Macaca mulatta: one gene and its partners. The protein of the gene in region 4 purifies or fractionates together with the protein of the main gene of each other region. This does not show direct contact. Links are inferred from orthologs where the notes say so. Each region holds a gene or a part of one and is shown on either strand. Other genes may lie near its edges.

What was found.
Region 1: the proteins of CHCHD4 (region 4) and SSNA1 purify together in Homo sapiens (co-immunoprecipitation; 3 studies listed by BioGRID and IntAct, with this or other methods). This does not show direct contact. The link is inferred for Macaca mulatta from reciprocal best matches to the Homo sapiens genes CHCHD4 and SSNA1.
Region 2: the proteins of CHCHD4 (region 4) and TOR1AIP1 purify together in Homo sapiens (co-immunoprecipitation; 3 studies listed by BioGRID and IntAct, with this or other methods). This does not show direct contact. The link is inferred for Macaca mulatta from reciprocal best matches to the Homo sapiens genes CHCHD4 and TOR1AIP1.
Region 3: the proteins of CHCHD4 (region 4) and TIMM10 purify together in Homo sapiens (co-immunoprecipitation; 4 studies listed by BioGRID and IntAct, with this or other methods). This does not show direct contact. The link is inferred for Macaca mulatta from reciprocal best matches to the Homo sapiens genes CHCHD4 and TIMM10.
Region 5: the proteins of CHCHD4 (region 4) and COA7 purify together in Homo sapiens (co-immunoprecipitation; 3 studies listed by BioGRID and IntAct, with this or other methods). This does not show direct contact. The link is inferred for Macaca mulatta from reciprocal best matches to the Homo sapiens genes CHCHD4 and COA7.

Annotation. Positions count from the first base shown.
Region 1 is NC_133420.1:5,265,385-5,268,675, forward strand, and holds SSNA1 (microtubule nucleation factor SSNA1), read right to left. Parts: upstream 1,869-3,291; 5' UTR 1,799-1,868; coding exon 1,747-1,798; intron 1,458-1,746; coding exon 1,258-1,457; intron 733-1,257; coding exon 625-732; 3' UTR 511-624; downstream 1-510. Other genes in the region: ANAPC2 (anaphase-promoting complex subunit 2), read left to right, coding at 1,992-2,108, 2,421-3,043. UniProt on the Homo sapiens protein: Microtubule-binding protein which stabilizes dynamic microtubules by slowing growth and shrinkage at both plus and minus ends and serves as a sensor of microtubule damage, protecting microtubules from the microtubule-severing enzyme SPAST.
Region 2 is NC_133406.1:37,288,381-37,292,375, reverse strand, and holds the start of TOR1AIP1 (torsin-1A-interacting protein 1), read right to left. Parts: upstream 2,811-3,995; 5' UTR 2,780-2,810; coding exon of another isoform or gene 2,702-2,779; 5' UTR 2,593-2,701; coding exon 2,115-2,592; intron 86-2,114; coding exon 8-85; intron 1-7. Other genes in the region: uncharacterized protein LOC144340607, read right to left, coding at 2,702-2,779. UniProt on the Homo sapiens protein: Required for nuclear membrane integrity. Induces TOR1A and TOR1B ATPase activity and is required for their location on the nuclear membrane. Binds to A- and B-type lamins. Possible role in membrane attachment and assembly of the nuclear lamina.
Region 3 is NC_133419.1:15,871,656-15,875,820, reverse strand, and holds TIMM10 (mitochondrial import inner membrane translocase subunit Tim10), read right to left. Parts: upstream 2,811-4,165; 5' UTR 2,796-2,810; intron 2,373-2,795; 5' UTR 2,328-2,372; coding exon 2,257-2,327; intron 741-2,256; coding exon 539-740; 3' UTR 373-538; downstream 1-372.
Region 4 is NC_133407.1:152,924,786-152,928,987, forward strand, and holds the start of CHCHD4 (mitochondrial intermembrane space import and assembly protein 40), read right to left. Parts: upstream 2,805-4,202; 5' UTR 2,723-2,804; coding exon 2,701-2,722; intron 1-2,700. Other genes in the region: TMEM43 (transmembrane protein 43), read left to right, coding at 3,231-3,242.
Region 5 is NC_133406.1:187,950,607-187,954,748, reverse strand, and holds the start of COA7 (cytochrome c oxidase assembly factor 7), read right to left. Parts: upstream 2,811-4,142; 5' UTR 2,719-2,810; intron 1,411-2,718; 5' UTR 1,055-1,410; coding exon 796-1,054; intron 1-795. UniProt on the Homo sapiens protein: Required for assembly of mitochondrial respiratory chain complex I and complex IV.

The DNA.
Region 1 (3,291 bases), on a different chromosome or scaffold from region 4:
GGGTGGCGCTGGCCTGGGCAGGGTGGGCACCCTCAGCGGTGTCCCTGAGGCTAGTTGGGCAGTCATAGGGAGACCACTCCAGACGCCTCCTCCCTCCTTTCCCAAGGGGGAGCCTCAGGCTCTGGCTCTGCGGGTGTCTGGCAGCCCCACACTGTTGACACGGGCAAGCAGCAGGCTGGCACGGACCTTTACAAAGATAATCTTTATTGATAATCACAGGCCACAGGGGTGAGCCCTGAGGTTTGGGTTCTGGGGTGAAGGAGAACCCCTGTCCCCTGCCCTGGGCCTCTGCTGGCTGAGGAGGGACAAGCTGAGGGGGCCCCCATGGTGCTCAGACAACCAGGGCCTCCCCAGCAGGGCAGGAGTGTGGGTGCCACAGAGACAGGCCCTTTGCAGAGCTGACCTGGAACCCACCATCCCCACAGCCCGTGTGAGCACGAAGCCCCTGGGTGGGCTGTGCCCTGGCTTGTCAATGATGCCAGTAGAGGCTGGCAGCCGCCCCTCTCGGCACCGGGGACAGTGAGGGAAGGCAGCTGCTGCTGTGAAGAACAAAGACGCTCTGAGGACAGACTTGTCGGGGCTGAGCTGAGGGGCGCACAGAGGCAGGCCCTGCCCGTGGTCTGGTCAGCTGTCCCTGCCACCGCTACTTTTCTGGTCTGAGGCTGTAGCCTTGGTCAGGTTCCCAGCTTCCCTCTTGAGGACGCTGAGCAAAGTCTGGGAGCTCTCCAGAATCTGGGGCCAGAGAAGTGAGAAAGTTGTTACTGTTCACCTGCTGGGAAGTTCCTAAGCCCCAGCTGTCCTCACACTCAGGTTCTGGGACCTGGCTGTGGGTGCTGTAGCCAAGGGATCCTGTGCGGGGGAAGGCGGAAGCCCAAGGGGACTGGCAGACGGGGTAACAGGGCCCTCTTCCCTCCTGAATCTGACCCGGAACACTTCCTCCCCACCCTCAAAGCCAGGCTGGGTTAGCACTGGCCCAAGACGTGGCTCTTCACACTCTAAGCAAAAAGAACCACATGGCTAGCGAGAACCGGATGAAGACCAGGACCCAGGATGCCCCAGGTCCCCCAGACAGCCCCACGGTCACTCCCGCAGCAGCCTGGGTTCCTCAATGGGCCTGGCCACGCTGCTCCTGCCCGACATGCCAGCGAGGCACAGACTGCCCACAGCTGGGAGCCCCAGACGGTCCTGACGCCCTGCCGCGGCTACACCCCTGCCGCGGCTATCCCCTGATGCTCCGCCTGGCCTCCCGAGCTCCACCTTGAGGTAGGCGGCCTCCGTCTCCGCGATGGTCCGGTCGAACTCGTTGCGAGAGGCAATCTTGCGTGCCAGGTTCTCGTTGACGCGGGCCAGCTTCTCCGTCAGCTGCCTCACCTCATTCTGCAGCCGCTGCTTCTCGTCCTCCTCCTCCTGGATCTGCCGGCACAGCTCTTCCCGCTTCTGGCACAGCTCCTCTATGCCTGGGGGGCCGGGAGGGGCGGGGCTGTGGGCCCAGGGCAGGAGCGCGGCGGCGGAGGGCGGGCCTCCTTCCACCCGAGGAAGCCAGAGTCAGGCACCACCCCCGAGCACCCGGCGCGGGGCCTGCGAGCCAACGAGGGCTCGGGGCCACGGACACCCAGCCCCCGGCACGGAGGGCTCTGCTCAGCTGCGCGATGCCCGCAACTAGGCGGGTCCAGGGGCACCCCGCTGCGAGCCGGGAACCCGGCCCTGCGGCCCTCCCGACCTCCCCGTCCCGGCTGCGCCGCTCACACTTGACCAGCTCGTTGTTGTAGTTCTGCAGCGCCGCGCCCTGCTGGGTCATGGTCTACGCCGCCCGGGGCCCCGCCACCCCAACCGACGCGGAACCAGCGCTGTCCGCGCCTGCGCACGACTCCCTGACGGCGCGCCGAACTACGCGTCATCGCTGAGCGCCTTGTGCGCGTCATGGCTGCGCGTGCAGACTTGCGTCATCGCTTTGCGCCGTGCCGAGGGGATCTCGGAGCCGGTGGCTGCAGATGGCGGCGGCAGTTGTGGTGGCGGAGGGGGACAGCGACTCCCGGCCCGGACAGGAGTTGTTAGTGGCCTGGAATACCGTGAGCACCGGCCTGGTGCCGCCAGCTGCGCTGGGGCTGGTGAGGCCTGGGAAGAGAGCGGCGGCCCCGCGCGGAGTTTCCGGGACCCTATGCACTTTGGGGCGGCCACCTTCGGGTTCATACAGCTCTGTCCGTCATCCGCCTCTGGCCTGTCCTGCCGCTTTCCACCGCCATTCCACTTCATTTCGTTCAGCTCCGCTGGCAGCCCTTCCCTAGTTTCGGCCCAACGTCCGGACACCACGGACAGGGGGCAGCGGAGTTTTTGCAGCCTACCCCTCAGCTTCTTCCCTTCCCCGCCTCTCCCCACCTCTATGTTGTGTTCCCCTCGCTTCACGGTTTTCTGCGCTCCAGGTGTCTTCCCGGACCAGCGGTGCAGTCCCGCCAAAGGAAGAGGAGCTCCGGGCGGCGGTGGAGGTTCTGAGGGGCCACGGCCTGCACTCGGTCCTGGAGGAGTGGTTCGTAGAGGTGCTGCAGAACGATCTGCAGGCCAACATCTCCCCTGAGTTCTGGAATGCCATCTCCCAATGCGAGAACTCTACGGATGAGCCCCAGTGCCTTCTGCTGCTCCTTGACGCTTTTGGCCTGCTGGAGAGCCGCCTGGATCCCTACCTGCGTAGCCTAGAGCTGCTGGAGAAATGGACTCGCCTGGGCTTGCTGATGGGCACTGGTGCTCAGGGGCTGCGAGAAAAAGTCCACACTATGTTGCGCGGAGTCTTGTTCTTTAGTACCCCCAGAACCTTCCAAGAGATGATCCAGCGTCTGTATGGGTGCTTCTTGAGAGTCTATATGCAGAGTAAGAGGAAGGGGGAAGGGGGCACAGACCCGGAACTGGAGGGGGAGCTGGACAGCCGGTATGCCCGTCGCCGGTACTACCGGCTCCTGCAGAGCCCGCTGTGCGCAGGGTGCAGCAGTGACAAGCAACAGTGCTGGTGTCGCCAGGCTCTGGAGCAGTTCCATCAGCTCAGCCAGGTCTTGTGAGTAGTCTGTCCTGATGGCCGTGCTCTCGCTCCTACTGGTTGCTCCCCTGGGTCCAGCTGGCCTCTGCAGAAAGCTGGTGAGCCGTCCTGATAACCAGGAACATGACAGAGAGAGAGTCCCTGGGGTTCCTGTGCAGTGTGTCCTGGACACAGGTGTCTCTCTTCTGTCACTCACCTGCAGTCCCACGGATTCATGCCTTGCCCGTGGTAAGGCCCTATGTGGCTTTTGTCTGCAGCAGCAAATT
Region 2 (3,995 bases), on a different chromosome or scaffold from region 4:
TTCTTACCTGGAGCCTCTTGTATGCTCCTGACAGTTTTCTTTGAAATCGTTTGGCTTAAATCAGTTTCGGAAGATGGTTCATCCTCTAAAAAACAGACGTAACTAGAGTTAAAATTCAGAATATATGACCTGGGAGATAATGGCACAGATTATGCATTTTTGTAATAATACATATGCAAAAATGCAAGAAATTCATTTCTTTAGAAACAGGTGGTTAGGTTTACCAAAATTTAGGAATTAAACTAGTCAGAACTCCTCTTGGGACAGAATACAACTAATTCGTTAGAATATAGTAATATTTGCCACTGTTGTTTTACAAAAATATATCATTTCAGAAAATCAAAAAGATGGGGTAGAGAATCACAAACAATGTGGAAGAATGCAGAAGAGTGAAAATGTTTAGATCTTTAAAGATTTAATAAAATAGGGGTAAATTCTTTACTTGTTAAAAAAATGTTAGCCTATATAACTGCACTAGGCTCTGTGGGACTCAATACAATGTAACATATTTATTGCCTACCTTGTGCAAAGCATTCTTCCAGGTACTGAAAGATACTGAATTAAACCAAGTACTTAAATTACTATCAAATATATATGATAGGCTCCTTGTCTGCAAAAACTTTGTAATTTTTTTTTTTTTTTTTTTTGAGACGGAGTCTCGCTGTGTCGCCCAGGCTGGAGTGCAGTGGCCGGATCTCAGCTCACTGCAAGCTCCGCCTCCCGGGTTTTTACGCCATTCTCCTGCCTCAGCCTCCCGAGTAGCCGGGACTACAGGCGCCCGCCACCTCGCCCGGCTAGTTTTTTGTATTTTTTAGTAGAGACGGGGTTTCACCGTGTTAGCCAGGATGGTCTCGAACTCCTGACCTCGTGATCCGCCCGTCTCGGCCTCCCAAAGTGCTGGGATTACAGGCTTGAGCCACCGCGCCCGGCCAAAACTTTGTAATCTTAAAAGAGATAAAACACACATATATATGGGCTAAACTGTCTTGAGTTGCTACACCCAAAAGTAACTGACACAACTTTAACATAAAGTTGCCAAAATCAAGTCTTCAAATCTGTCAGTACCTTCACGAGTCAGCAGGTAAACTTGCAGCCTATCATCGTGCTGTAAGCTGAAAACCCACTCCTCCGCATATCAATAGTCTACCACAAACTATGTCTTCCCATTGTGACTCAGGTCCGCTGATTTTTACCTCACAGGTGCCTTACGTGGGACTAACATGAAACTTCATCTGTGACTCAGTGTTGGGTCCCAAAATGGGGGGGCAGGGTGGGAGAGGATAGGTTAAGGAAACTGATTCACCTATGACTTACCTAACACTATACATTCACTCTGTCAGCATCCCTTTTGTCCATTTAGACGAAAACTAATTAATAGTATTGTTTTTCAGGTTGCTTTGTCAGCCTGATTTGCCAGACTACTTGAGGTTACAGTGACGGCCACCAAAGTGGCAGATTTTTGGCAGGGACCACCACACTGGAGAAAGAGCAATCAGCTCAAGTTTATCAGACACTGGGGAACATGAGTTCAGGAAAAATGAGTTACCCCATTTCGGTGTAAGTATTGGGTGAGGTCTCAAATCAATTAACTAAACTCAGCAATCCCTCGAAATGCCCACTCACAAAATTTCTCCTTTCTCTCTCTCCACCTGGGTGGGGAGGGAAAACGACTGAAAGGTTTGATCCTCAGCTGGAGACTCTGGCCTGCCAGCGTTAAAAAAGGAAATGGAAGTGGTTTCCGTAGAAACATCCGCAGGGTAGACGAAACCAAAATGAAACCGAACCTGGAGTAATTCGCTGTCCCCTCGTGAAGGCCTGCAGAAAAAGGCAGCCCTGACTCCCCTAAATTGATGCCCGATGTTGGTCAGAGCGCCCCAGCCCTGCCCGGGTCGCTCCATACGACCATCTTTCCACTCCTTAGGTCGGCGCTTCCTTCCCCGCTGCGGGTCAGGATGGCCCTTGCACGGCGACACACGTCCAGAAGGGACTGAGGAGTACCCAGTACCCAATCCCAGTACTTAGTACCCAGGCGGGGATGAGCTCCACGGAGGCGCGCGCCCGCCCCCGCGCGTTCCCTGGCTCGCGGCTGGGACTGTTACCTCCGCGGTCCTCACCTTCAGAGGAATGACAGTCCCGCAGCCCTCTCCTGGTCGTAACGGGAGACGGCTGTAGCGGAGGCTGCTGTGAGTACTGCTGCTGAAGGCGGGTAGCCCTTCGCGTCTGCATCTCTTCGGCTTCCTGGAGTCGCGGCAGCCTCCGCCGCTGCCTAGAACGAAGGTAGTACGCGCTTTCTCTCACTTCCTCTTTCGCAGAATCGGGCCGGAACTCTTCTAGCCGGCTTCGTTTTCCCACCGGGGACCTTTCTTTGGCCACCAGGGGCTCGAAGTCTCCGTACACTTCTGGCGGCTCCTCCGAGAACCTCACTTCCCGCCGGCCCTGGCGCGACAGAGGAGTTCCGTACGCAGGCGCGTCGCTGCTGCCGCCATTTTGAGGGGCGAGCCGGCCCCTTCCTTCTCGGATGGGGGCCCTGGGAGTGACGTACACACCCCATCCTTCCCGCACCGCCTCCGCCCGCGGTCCCTCGCCCGCCATAGTTGTTGACGTAGCTTTAGTTGATCGCGAGGATGGCTTTCTGGATCCTAGGTTCTCCTGCCGGTGGCGGCGATGGCTTCTCGGGTGTGTTAGGCGGTGGTCGCTGTGGTCAGGGAGGCAGTTGCGAGTCGCCGGGGCCGCCGCCTGCGTCGTCGCTGCTGTGTAGCAAACCTGCCTCTGGGCCCATGGTGTGTCTTGAGGGCTGTGGAAGAGGCAGTGCCTGAGCTGGGTCAGCTGCTGTGGGTCGCTCCCGCCTCCTGGCTGGAGACACCAAAGAGGAGGAGAAGGGGGAGGAGGACGTCTCTGCCTTCGGCCTTCAGTAAAGGAGGGGTGGGGGCGACGGAAGGGTGGCAGGGCAAATTGCCTGTCCCAAGTCGAGCCGCTCGTGGCAAGTTTTGACTGCATATAGGAGACGCCCGTCCTATCTCCCACTACCAAGTCTGCGGGAAAAGGAGTGAGACGAGGGTGAAGAAGACCAGGTTTCGCTTCTCGGCCCCAGGCTGTTGCGCAGTTTCCCTGGAATCGTTTTGATCGACTGCTACGTTGAGCATGTCCTTCCCAGTGTCCTTAGCAGGAGCGATGGCCAGAGAGATAACTTTTGCACATGTCATGTTTTCGTGGCAAAAATTTTAGTTTCAAGTTCCTTATGAAGGCGGTTACCTAGTTTTAAATTTTGTCACCTGTTGAGGTTGTACAAAATCCTGTCTACAGTCATACTCTTTGAATGTATTTTCTTTTCCGAAATGTACCCATAGGAAACATGACCTTATTCCTGGTCTTTAATATTTCTTGGTTTTATACCAAGCAGCACTGTTCGGAAGACCATGTTAGTGCTACATTGTGCACAGTGAGGAACACGTTTTTTTATTAAAGACAGTACTGTAATTTTAAGTTGTGATCCATTATTTTTACTTTTATTCTGGATATGACGTGATACTCTACATTTGATTTAAAATGCTTTCTGGACTTTCTGGAATAAGCATGGTAAAAGCTATTTGTTTCACCTCCATATACCATGTTTATAGATGTGGCTAATCTGCAAATACCTAACCAAATTTAGACACACTCAGAGAAGGTCGATTAAGTTCGTGTAAAGTCTGAATAATTATTGAAAAAAAGCTCAAATCACCTTCAAATATACAACTTCTTGTGGGACTTGCTATGATTGGAGTGAACAGATTTTAAAAATTGTAATTTGGATACCAGTTACAATGAGTGATTCTGAAAAGTTTGAAGGTGTTTGTTTATTCTTCCAAGTAATCACCTTAAAATGCTTCTGAGCAACTCATTTGTTGCTCAGACTTGGCACAAATTTCAACTACTTAGGTCGTAATGTGTACTACGTTTTTAGTTTTTATTTTATTTTATTTTGAGACGGAGTTTGCTCTGTCACCCAGGCTGGA
Region 3 (4,165 bases), on a different chromosome or scaffold from region 4:
TCCTGGGTTCAAGCGATTCTCCTGCCTCAGCCTCCTGAGTAGCTGGGATTACAAGCACCCGCCACTACACCCAGCTAATTTTTGTATTTTTAATAGAGACGGGGTTTTGCCATGTTGGCCAGGTGGTCTTGAACTCCTGACCTCAAGTGATCCACCCACTTCAGCCTCCCAAAGTGCTGGGATTACAGGCGTGAGCCACTGTGCCTGGCCTGTCCTACTCTTAAACACTACATTAGTCTCCCTCTGCTGGTAGGGGCTGTGTCTGTTTACTCTCAAATGCCACGCACACTGCTTTGCACATAGTAGGTGTCAACAAACTTGTTTTAATATATATATACATACATACATACACACACAGTCACATTCCAGTGTGACAAATACTCCTTCACCAGGGGACAGCGCTACCACTCCAGGATCTTGAAGACTCGCTACAGAGAGCTTAGGCCTGGCAGTCCTCACAGATGACACCCAACAGGGAGCACTTTTATTAAAGTGGGAAGGGGTGGGGTGTACCCCAGGGTGTATGCTGACACGGACCTCACGCGGGCCCAGAGCTCTGCTGCACCCTCTTCATCAGCTCTTCATCCTGCATAGACAACTCTGTCAACTTTTTGCCCATTCGCTCATGGATGTCCAAGTACTTAGAGACACATCGGTCCAGGCACACAGACTCGCCCTTGGAGAGCTCTGCTTCCTTGTAGTGAGGAGGCACACACTTCCGGTGGCAGGCACTGGTCATTCTGGAGGGAGGGAGGGGCAAGGTCATGTCAGCAGCATCCTGTGACATCCCAGGAACCCTCGACCATTCCAGCCCTGCTATATTGATGTCACCTTCCCCAAGAAAGCAGTGTAAATCCTCAGTTTACACCTCAACCACTGGAAGGTCCTTGCAAGTAGGAAACTTGCCTGAGCCCATGTATATGACTAATTAAGTAGAAACAATTTGTTAAGGACTGGCTATGTGCCAGGCATCATGCTAAGTGCTTTACCTGCATTCTGTTATGCAATGCTTACAATTACCCCAAGAGATACTTATCCCCATTTTACAGACGAGAAAATTAAGGCAAACAGAGGCTCAGTAATTTTCTTTTTTTTTTTTTTTGAGACGGAGTCTCGCTCTGTCGCCCAGACTGGAGTGCAGTGGCGCTATCTCGGCTCACTGCAAGCTCCGCCTCCCGGGTTCACGCCATTCTCCTGCCTCAGCCTCCCGAGTAGCTGGGACTACAGGCGCCCGCCACCACGCCCGGCTAATTTCTTTTTGTATTTTTAGTAGAGACGGGGTTTCACCGTGTTAGCCAGGATGGTCTCGATCTCCTGACCTCGTGATCCGCCCGCCTCGGCCTCCCAAAGTGCTGGGATTACAGGCTTGAGCCACCGTGCCCGGCCGAGGCTCAGTAATTTTCTAAGAATCACATAGAGCTGAGATATGAACCCAGGTCATCTGACCTCACAGTCTACACTTAACAATCTTTCTAATTTATAGTCGTCAGGATAAACCAACCAATCAAGAGAGCTTAAGCCAATAAAAATAGCAGACATTTCACTGTTACTAAGTGTTGGGCTTGAGGCTAAGGACTTTCATATATTTTTAGATTTAATATTTATGATGCCCTATGAGGTAGGTATCATTATGTCTTTTTCATAATGAGGAAACCAATTGTCAAACAGTGCAAGTAACATGTCCAAGTATACTGCTGGTGATTGGTGGAGCCAGGATTTGTTCCCAAATGTGCCAAATGGTTATGAGCACTAGTTGCAGAACCAGACTGAGGTGCTAGTTCTGGCATTGTTACCCACCAGATGCGGACCCTAAGGAAGTTACTTAACCTCTAGCAGCATCAATTTCCTCATTTTAAGATGGGACTAATAAAATTAACCCACTGGATTATTTTGAAGATTAACAAGAGCCTGACACAGAATAAAGGGTTTTAAAATGTTAACTACTAAATGGGCTGGCTATGTGCTATTTATCAAGAGGCAAATACTCAGCTTTTCTTGGAACCTAACCAGAGCCTGGATTGGAGCTTCTCTTCCTGCTTGGCTCCTGCATTGCCAGTTCCATCCCCATCTAAATGCCCAACTCATTCTAGTGACTGCATCTACATTAGGATCAACCTTGGAGGTGCGTATGGGGAGGGTAAGCATGGGCCTCAGGCTCCCCTACATTCAGGAAGGCATTTGTTGTAAGTCATTCACCTTCGATATGGGTGACCAAGACTTATTTTCCAAGACAGGGTAGAACATAGTTCTCTTTACCTGTTGTACATATCGGCCATCATCTCCACCTCCAGCTCCGCAGCCAGCTGTTGGGCCCTGAGAGGATCCATCTCAGCCTAGCACCGTGGAAGGTATCTCCTTCTGGCCTCCTAATCCTGGGAGCAGACATCACCATCAGCACCCACCGCCGCCGTTCACTCTCCTACCCCTTGGGGCTAGAGGATACAGAGGACTCACAGGGCGCCAGACCACCACGGGCCACTAACCTCAGTGAGCTTAACCACCCCATTTCACGGATGTGGAAACTGAGGCCTCGCCCAAGGTCGCACAGGACGTCCATGGCGAGCCTGGAAATCGAGCCCCGGATCTCTGATGCCCCAGTCCCTGGAGGTCACCTCTATTCAGAAGATCGAGGACCGAGGCAGAACGCTCTAACCATAAGCCTGAACCTCCAGGGCCCTGGGAATGAGATCGTACGCTGAACACAGGCGACTGGGACGCAGCCTAAAGGCTGCGCCTCTGAAATGGCGACGCCATAATCAGAGCCACATTGAATTCAGAGGTCATGGGTCACTCACCACTGCCTGGGACGGATCGCAATGCTCACGGAGACCCCAACTTCTGACAAAAACTATAACGTTACCCGCCTCTCCAGAAGGCTCCAGCGGAAGCACGTGGGTTACTTCCGGGAGGGAAGTCCCGCCTCTCCTTTGATTCAAACTCGCTTCCGGAACTAAATACCAACGAGACGGCGCCGGGAACTCGGCGATCCTAGAGAGGGAGCGGCCGGCGCCGGGCGAAGAGGAAGGCGACTTGCCAGTGCTAGAGGGGACGCCAAAGTACCATAGAGGCTTGGGCGGGGTGCAGAGCGTCTGCAGCCCGCTTACAATTCAAGTCCCTTGGGATGTCACAGAGCCGCTTCAGTTTATTGGTTCTGTAGGAAGAGGCGTGGCGACAGATATCAGTGAACCTCATCCCAGTTCCGGACAGCCGACTCCTGAGCGTAAATCAGGCGTGGAGAAGGAAGAACGCCCCCAAACAGCGATTCTGTTTTTGTTTCGCGTTAAAATCCCTGAAACGTTTTTAAACGTCCCAGTGCCCAGGACTCACCTCATTTCAATTAAATCAGAATCTCTGGGAGTAGGACCCAGGCATCAATACAATTTAAAATTCCCCAGGTGATTCGTATGTACAGCCAAATTTGAGAAGCAGTGCTCCATGGGACGTTGTACGATTACTACTGTGTGTAGGTCACACTAAGCCCCTTCTGGTGTTGCAACGATAAGCGAGATAGGCTTCCTGCTCGTAGAAAGACAAGACGTGTAAAATACGTTTTCTTCAACAGTCAGAGGTCCTGAGCCACAAAGAGATTAATAAAAGCAATTTCGGCTGCCACCGGGGCTAATCTTGGGTGAGGGAGAAGGAGGGTACTGGTGAACTTTTCAACTTTCAAGACTTAATGTGTTCTTCAAACTGCACCATTCACTCATTCCCCACTAAAAAGAAGGAAACAACACTCAGTCCCTTGATTTGTCACACAATTTCCTAGTAAAATAAATTTACAAGATGTAAATTGATGACGCAAGGGCACATTGCTCATTGGAAAAGGTGGGCTAGACATTTTATATGTGTGGTCATCATATGCTTCCCTAATTGTCCAAGACCATCCTGATTTTAAACAATCGACCTTTCTGCTTTGAAGACTCATCTTTGTCAAACCTTGTGCCCTGATTTTTAAAGATTGAGGTATAATATTCATAAAGTGCATAAAATACACGAATCTCAAGCTTAATTAAATATATATGTGTATATATACATTTGTATAACCACCACCCAGATCAAGATATAAAATACTTCCTGCACCCCAAAAAGTTATCTTGTGTTTCTTCCCCATTAATACTCCCTCTTGAAGTTAACCACTATTCTGACCTCTATCACCATCAATTCG
Region 4 (4,202 bases):
TGACAGTCTGTAATCATGCATTGGTCTGGTGATGTTTTAATGGCAATCTCTTCCACCATGCCAGGAAGGCAGAGAATGTGTCACATTGCTCACCACTATATGCCCAATGGCTGGCACGTCACATGTGCTTTATAAATGTTGACTAAACACGAGTGGGCAGGCTCTGCATTAGAAAGAGGAAACTAAGAAAGAAACACTATGGTGCTGACACACAGAAGTGTGGCTAGCCCAAGGCCAGGGAGCCAGGATGAGAGCCCTCGAATGCCAAACCAAGGAGTTTAACCTGAAGGCTGGGTAGCAGGTGGACCCCTGAAATAAACTTGCACAGGCAAGTGATTCACTCAGGACAGAGGGCAGGTACACGCATGATTCAATAAAGATTTGGGCACCCATTGTACACCAGGCCCTGTGCCAGATGCTGGGGATTCCACAGCCCATCTGATGCTCTCAGCTTAGTGGGAGAAGACAGGCAGGAAGATGGCAAAAAATAAAAAAGGTAATTTCAGAGAGTTCAGGATGTGAAAGACACAAAGGGTCAGGAGGCTAAATTTTAAAGGATGAGGAGTCAGCCATGGAAGAGGTGAAGGCAGGATCTACCAAACCAAGGGTATAGCGAAGAGGTTAGAGGCTGGGCAACAAAAAGGTGGGAAGAGACCAGGCTGGAAAGGCAGACAGGGCCAGATCACATAAGCTCTGATACGGTAAGGAGTTTGGGATCATTTTTTTTAAAAATCCTATGGGAAGCATAAAGGATCAGTGAGCAAAAAAAAAAAAAAAAAAAAAATGTTAGGGACTTCTTAGGGGGACAGTGGTATGGATAAGAAAAATACTAAGGAAGGCCTATAAGTGAGTGCTTTCAATTCTCACTCATCTCCTAAGAGAGATCTTTGAACCAGGAAAAGATAAGGGCTCCATGTTTTTTTTTTTTTTTTTGAGACGGAGTCTTGCTCTGTAGCCCGGGCTGGAGTGCAGTGGCCGGATCTCAGCTCACTGCAAGCTCCGCCTCCCGGGTTTATGCCATTCTCCTGCCTCAGCCTCCGGAGTAGCTGGGACTACAGGCGCCCGCCACCTCGCCCGGCTAGTTTTTTGTATTTTTAGTAGAGACGGGGTTTCACGGTGTTAGCCAGGATGGTCTTGATCTCCTGACCTCGTGATCCGCCCGTCTCGGCCTCCCAAAGTGCTGGGATTACAGGCTTGAGCCACCGCGCCCAGCCAAGGGCTCCATGTTTTGAAGGCAGATGGACCTAGCCTCCCTTTCCAGAGAAAACTGCCTCCTGTAAATCCTCAAAGAGAAGGAGGGTTTTGTTTATCAGCACAGCCTCATTATACCCAAAGGCTCAAAAATTATTTGCTAAATGAAGTAAATTAGAGAGAGACTTGAAATTAAAAACAACAGTGGTGAGGGCAGAGGACTTTTGCTTACGGCACACATTAAGTAGTAATCAGCGGAAATATAATAGTACTCATTAAAGAGTGAGTCTTATGGCTTTACAACCCAGAGGAGGAGAGGTTCTAGAAGCAGACAGGGCTACTAGGGAAAAGGCTCAGCATTTTAGGCTGAGCTATGCTCCTAACTGGATGTGTAACTAAGGTAGGCCACCTCCTTCTCTGGGCTTCAGATTGCTTGAATTAACTGATGGAGCTGGAGTATTCACCAAAGAATTTCTGGGTGACTTCCAACTCTCTCTGTAGCTTTATAACCATCCATCCCCCTTCTCTGGAGCAGAGAAGATGCTTCATGAATATTTGCTGTATCAGTGAAGCCCAACATCTCATTTTACAACACTGGAAACCAGGGCCTGGAGGGGTTAGGTAGGAGCTTAGGGCCAAGGAGTCAGTTTGTGGCAGTGTGTGGGGAGGCCCTCCGACCTGTGGCTTGGGTACTTCTGAGCTCTTGGGTAGAGTAACATCAAGGAAGCATTAGGTGGTTGGAGCTCAACTTTGGGGTGGGAGGTAGGCAGGGTTCTCCCTGCAATCCACTGGGCACTAGATTGGAAAAGGCTGTTCTGGGGTCACAATGCCCAGGCTCAAACCCCGGTTCCACGATTTGCTGGCTGAGTGGCTTTAGCCAAGTCTCCTGTGTCAGACTTTACTCTTCAGTAAAATGTGACCAGTAACAGAGTCTGACTTACAAAGGGCGCAGCGAGATCAATGAGACAAGCCACGTAAGTTTCCTTGAACAGTGCCTGATAGGTAGCAGGGGGCTCAAAAACATTCCCGTTAGTAGAACTCCTAGCACAACTCCTAGCACCCCAGCACAGCACACGCTACCCCCAGTAGCAACTTTTCGGGACCCGCCTTTTAAAGGCGCGTGCAAAATGGCAACACGTGGGGTATGGCAGGAGCGGTAGTAATAATTAACATACATTCCCAGTTACGAGCCACACGCAACGTGCTCGGCATTTCCCGTGCCCCAACCCGGCCTAGTTTACGACTTCCCACGCACAGGCCCCTCTGAGGTCAGGGTTCGGGCTTCACTGTGACCTTGGACCAGTCCCGTTCCCCCGAGAGCTTCGGTTTTCTCATTCGCAAAACACGAGTGGCGACCCCCCAGCCTGCCCGCCTCCGAGTGTCCCAGGGTGGGCAACCGGGCCGCGCCTCGGGTGGCCCGCGCCTGCGGCGTGGTAGCGGGGCGCCGGGGCCCGCGTGTCTCCCGCAGGCCCTCGTAGGCCGGTCTCCATGGCAGCCCGCCCTCCCTACCTTCCTGCCGGCAATAGGACATGGCTGCAGCCCGTCCCTGAGACCTTGCAGAAGCGGCAGTGGCGGTAGCTGCAGCTTTACGCCGTGACCTCCTCTCCTCAGGCAGGGCGGGCGCCTCCGAAGCCCGCGCGGACCCGCCCCCTCCAGGCCTGCCCGCCGCGCGCCTGCCTCGGCGCCCTCTTAACCGCGGCCAGGCCCACCTCAGCCGGAAACTACATTTCCCAGCAGGTCGCGAGCCCCACAGCAGCTCGCCAGGCAGTAGAAACTACATTTCCCAGAAAGCTTTGCAGTGCGCAGGCGCATCAATGAGGTACTGTAATGTCCCTGACCCGTTTCCAGGTCTCGCCGTGCGCATGCGCAGAAACACTGGGCACACGGGGCGGTAACTGCAGTAAGTCCCGCCTGGTCTTGGAGTCCACGCGGATTTTCGAAGCTGGGGCTGGCAAGAGGCCGCTGGACTCCGCGCTCCAGTCGTCAGCCCACTTCCTAGCTGAACAGCGCGAGGCGGCGGCAGCGAGCCGGGTCCCACCATGGCCGCGAATGTGAGTGTCCCCTGGCCAGCCGGGCCACACCCAGGCTTCTCCGTCGCCCTGGGGCTCTTCCCCGGGGCCCTCTGGGTCCGTTTCGCCGTCTGGAGCTCCTCCCTGCGGCTGGGCCCGCATCTCCCTCTGCGCGCCGTGTCGGTGCCTTCGCCAGCTCATCCCTCTGTTAATCTCTCGAACCGTCCAGACTTCTTTTGTCCGTGTTCTTTGGTCCGCCTAGTCCTCGGCGTTCGTGCGGAGGCGGACTCGGAGGTGTTGCTCCCGCACTACGATCTGCTTGTACGCCTCTCCGCGGCTCCTCCTTGCATTCCTAGTTCCCTCCTGTATCTTGGGGCCCTGAAGCCGTCCCAAGGTTGCGCATTATGAGAGCTGGACGGGAGCTCAGAGAGGGGGCCATTCCCTTGGGAGGGAGGAAGGCGACCCAGCCCAAGTGGAGCTGTCCAGCAATGGACGGATAGGGCTGTCCAGGCGGGCAGAGAGCTCCCCGCTCTAGGGAGGCTGTGTAAACCGAGGCTGTGATGCTGCAAAAAGCTTAGGCTGGGCTGGGAGCGAAGGAGTTAGGGGGAGAGGGAGCATTTCTCTACTGTCGGGGCCCCTCCTCCTCCTAGCAAGGATTTGGTTGGAGAAGGCCTGGCTGAGGGCTGTTCCTTCAAGGCCTCTTCTCCCTGCAACTAGCCTTTCTCGGGAAACTATTTAAGCCCAACATTCATTCAGCACACCAAGCAGCGCCTCCTACCAGGGCGCTGGATGTGGGAGAAGCTGGTGACTCACTTCTCCCCTCCTCTGTGAAAGTGCTTCTAGGGCCTGCTTAGGAGCCCAGCCAGCCCCAGACACACCCTCCCTCCTGCTTTGGTAGAGTGTCCTAGCAGCTCTCCCCTTGCCTGTCACACCCTATTTCCAGACGCCGCCTCTGTCCCCAAGCGTCCTCTCTGCCTCCCACACCCCTTGAGAGGCCAGGGT
Region 5 (4,142 bases), on a different chromosome or scaffold from region 4:
ACACTGTGGATTCTATCTTGTTCTCTCCTTTAAATTACTCACTCTGGGAGAAGCCAGACGCCATGTCATGAGGACACTCAAGCAGCCCATGGAGAGAACCATGTCATGATGATCTGAGCTCTCCCAATAACAGCTGGTAAGGAACAGAGGCCTCTGTTACCAGCCATCAGAGTGAGTCATCTTAGAACTGGAAACTCCCAACTTCAGTCAAGCCTTCCAATGACGACAGCCCTGGTTCCATGGCCAATGTCTGACTATAACCTCATGAGACACCCTGAGGTACCCCACTAAACCACTCCCAAATTCTTGACCCACAGAAACTACTGAGGTGATCTGTTATTTAGCCATACATAATGTAAACACTATGCCAGTGATAACTATAATTAGAGTAGGAGAAAAGACAGAAGCAAGACAATTATAATTACTGACCCCTTACTCTGTGCCAGGCACATGCTGATGCCTTTTTCTATACTATCCTATTTAATCCTCACGACCCTACAAAGCAAGTACTATTTCCCTCCAATTTACAGGTGATGTAACTTGAGTGCACAGAGTTGAAGTGATTGGCTCAAGATCTCACTATTTGCAAATAGCATTCCCTAAGGTTTACCTAACTTGAAAGGCTGTGTTCTTCCCCACATCGCTCTGCTGAACTCCTACCTCTCCATCTTCCTACAATGCACTTGCCCAATGCCTGCGAGACCCTTCTGCAAGAGCTCATCATGGGGCTCAGGTGTGAGGCCAGCACTGCCATCAGTGACAAGGACCCAAAAAGCAGACCCTCCTTACCCTTACCTTTTCCAGTCACATAGTAGGCCCCCAGTTTGTAGCAACTATCGCTGTGCTGGTTCTCTTCACAGTTAAACTTCAACACCTTGGCAGCCTCATCAAAATTCTTCTGGATCCCTTCCAAATAGTCCACCAGCCGATAGCAACCTGCGAAGAGAGGGCAAGGGCTGTTCTTCATGTCTGGGGCTGCTGCTTCACAGTGGGGGCTTGGGGTAGGGGGTGCCCAGGTGTGGCAGGCCAGGCTATGTCTTTTAAGACAGCCCATGTCCTCCTGAGATGTCGCAAGTTGACCTTACCACAAAGAATGTAGGTGGTGTTTAGTTATACCTACAAATGACACTGTCTCCCCATAGCCATGGACTGAGCAATATATGGCCTGGGGAAACCTCAGTCCCTGCATTGGCTCCATCACTCACCAGCCCTTCTGCTCCCTGTCAGCCACGCCCAAATACCCACCGACTTCCATGATTGAAACTTTGCTAGTTTTGGAATCTCTCATGAAGTTCAATGGTAAAAACAATGAAAACCTAAAAGGCTCATAGACTAGTCTTTGTAGCAGCAAGAAAACGGTGCTGGGTCAGGCTTGGTAGCTCATATCTGTAATCCCAGTACTTAGGGAGGCTGAGGCAGGAGGATCACTTGAGGTCTGGAGTTCGAGACCAGCCTGGACAGGGTGAAACCCTGTCTCTACTAAAAATACAAAAAAATTATCCAGAAGTGGAAATATATTAAAAAATTAGCCAGGTGTGGTGGCACACACCTGTAATCCCAGCTACCTGGGAGGCTAAGACAGGAGAATCACTTGAACCCAGGGGGCAGAGGTTGCAGTGAGTCGAGATCGTGCCACTGCACTCCAGCCTGGGTGACACAGTGAGACTCTGTCTTAAAAAAAAAAAAAAAAAGAAAAAGAAAAAGAAAAGGGTGCTGTGATGACTATACCTTACTCCTCAGCTAGGGTAGGAACATGAAAGCCAAAAAGAAAGAGTAGAGGTGGCCGCTTCTATGGAAACAGGCTCCATGTCTCCCAATCCCAGTAAACCTCTCTCCTTAATCTCTCTCCCCTCTTCTTAACCCCTGGTGACAACATGTATCTCTCATTCATTTTCACTCAACAAATATTTGGGCCGGGCGCGGTGGCTCACGCCTGTAATCCCAGCACTTTGGGAGGCCGAGGCGGGCGGATCACAAGGTCAGGAGATCGAGACCACGGTGAAACCCCGTCTCTACTAAAAATACAAAAAATTAGCCGGGCGCGGTGGCGGGCGCCTGTAGTCCCAGCTACTCAGGAGGCTGAGGCAGGAGAATGGCGTGAACCCAGGAGGCGGAGCTTGCAGTGAGCCGAGATCGCGCCACTGCACTCCAGCCTGGGCGACAGAGCGAGACTCCGTCTCAAAAAAAAAAAAAAAAACACAAATATTTGAACATCTCTATGCATCTATGTAACAGACATGGTTCTAGATGCTGAAAATATACTCATTTGCCCTCCTAAAATTTACATTCTAGGGGAGGAAATACAGTAAGTAAATGAACAAAATTTATTCAAACAGTAATAAATGTTATGATTATAACAACTCAGAAACAGGAAGTGAAATACTGCATGTCCTCACTTATAAGTGAGAGCTAAATACTGTGTACACATGGACACAAAGAGTGTGGAATAATAGACACTGGAGATTGGGAAGGGTGAGAGGAAGAAATTACCTAACAGGTACAAGTACATTATTTGGGTGATGGTTATATTAAAAGCCCCGACTTCCCCAGCAATTTGGGAGGCCGAGGCGGGCAGATCACCTGAGGTCGGGAATTCTAGACCAGCCTGACATGGAGAAACCCTGTCTCTACTAAAAATACAAAAATATTAGCTGTGCATGGTGGTGCATGCCTATAATCCCAGCTACCTGGGAGGCTGAGGCAGAGAATCACTTCAACTCAGGAGGCGGAGATTGCGGTGAGCCGAGATGGGCCATTGCACTCCAGCCTGGGCAATAAGAGCGGAACACCGTCTCAAAAAAAAAAACAAGCCCAGACTACACAACCAGGCAATATATCCATGTAACAAAACTGCACTTGTACTCCTTAAATGTATACAAATAAATAAATAAATAAATAAATGCTATGACTGAAATAAAACAGGATAACTGTTTGCTGTCAACTTTGGGTGAAGCTAACAAAGACTGGGCCACTGGGGAGGGGCTGTGACCTCAATAACAAGAAAGTACTAGCTATTTAAAGACAATGGAATGGGAGTGGGGCAGGGATTTGGAACAAATTTAAAAATTAAAAAAAAAAAAATGAAATTAAAAGACAATAAAATGGGCAGGGGCACAAAGTCCTGGCACAACGAACAGTAAATACAAAGACCTGAAAGAGAGAATAAGTTTGGCACGAATAAGGTACAACATGGCTGAACCAAGGAGGAGGGTCAGGAAATGAAGAAGGAAGGTAGGGACGAGACCCCAGGCCTTGTGAAACATAGGATGCAGTTACGATTTTTTTCCAACTGAAACAGTAAACCACTGGAGGGTTTTAAGAAAATAAGTAATATGATTCAGGCCAGGTGTGGTGGCTCATGCCTGTAATCCCAGCATTTTGGGAGGCCAAGGAGGGTAGATCACTTGAGGTCAGGAGTTCAAGACCAGCCTGGCCAAAATGGTGAAATCCTGTCTCTACTAAAAATACAAAAATTAGCCAGGCTTGATGGCGCACACTTGTAATTCCAGCTATTCGGGAGGCTGAGGCAGGAGAATCACTTGAACCCAGGAGGCTAAGGTTGCAGTGAGCTGATATCATGCCACTGCACTCAAGCCTGGGCAACAGAGCAAGACTCAGTCTCAGGAAAAAAAAAAAAAAAAAAAAAAGCCAGGTGTGGTGGCACATGCCTGTAATCCCAGCTACTTGGGAGGCTGGGGCAGAAGTGCTTGAACCTGGGAGGAAGAGGTTGCAGTGAGCCAAAATTGCGCCACTGCACTCCAGCCTGGGCAACAGAGTAAGACCCTGTCTCAAAAAACAACCAAAAAGTCACCAAAAACAACAACCCCACCCCCCAACAAAAACGTTACTCTGGTATACATGTTCATATATGCCTGGGTGATTATGCAGGAATTTAAGTATGTGAGGGCATATAATTGGGCATTGATAACAAATATGTTATTTTAAAATCTAATATTTAACATAACAAAATTAAAATTAAAATATCAGTTTATCTGTGAGTAGAAATGGATTTTAAGGGAGTAAAGTGCAAAGACAGGGACAGGTTAGAAGGCAACTTCAGTTATCCAGGTAAGAGATCCTTCCTGACATGCAAGGAAACTACTACACCAGTCGCTATGGTAACTACAGCCTCTTCTCAGGTC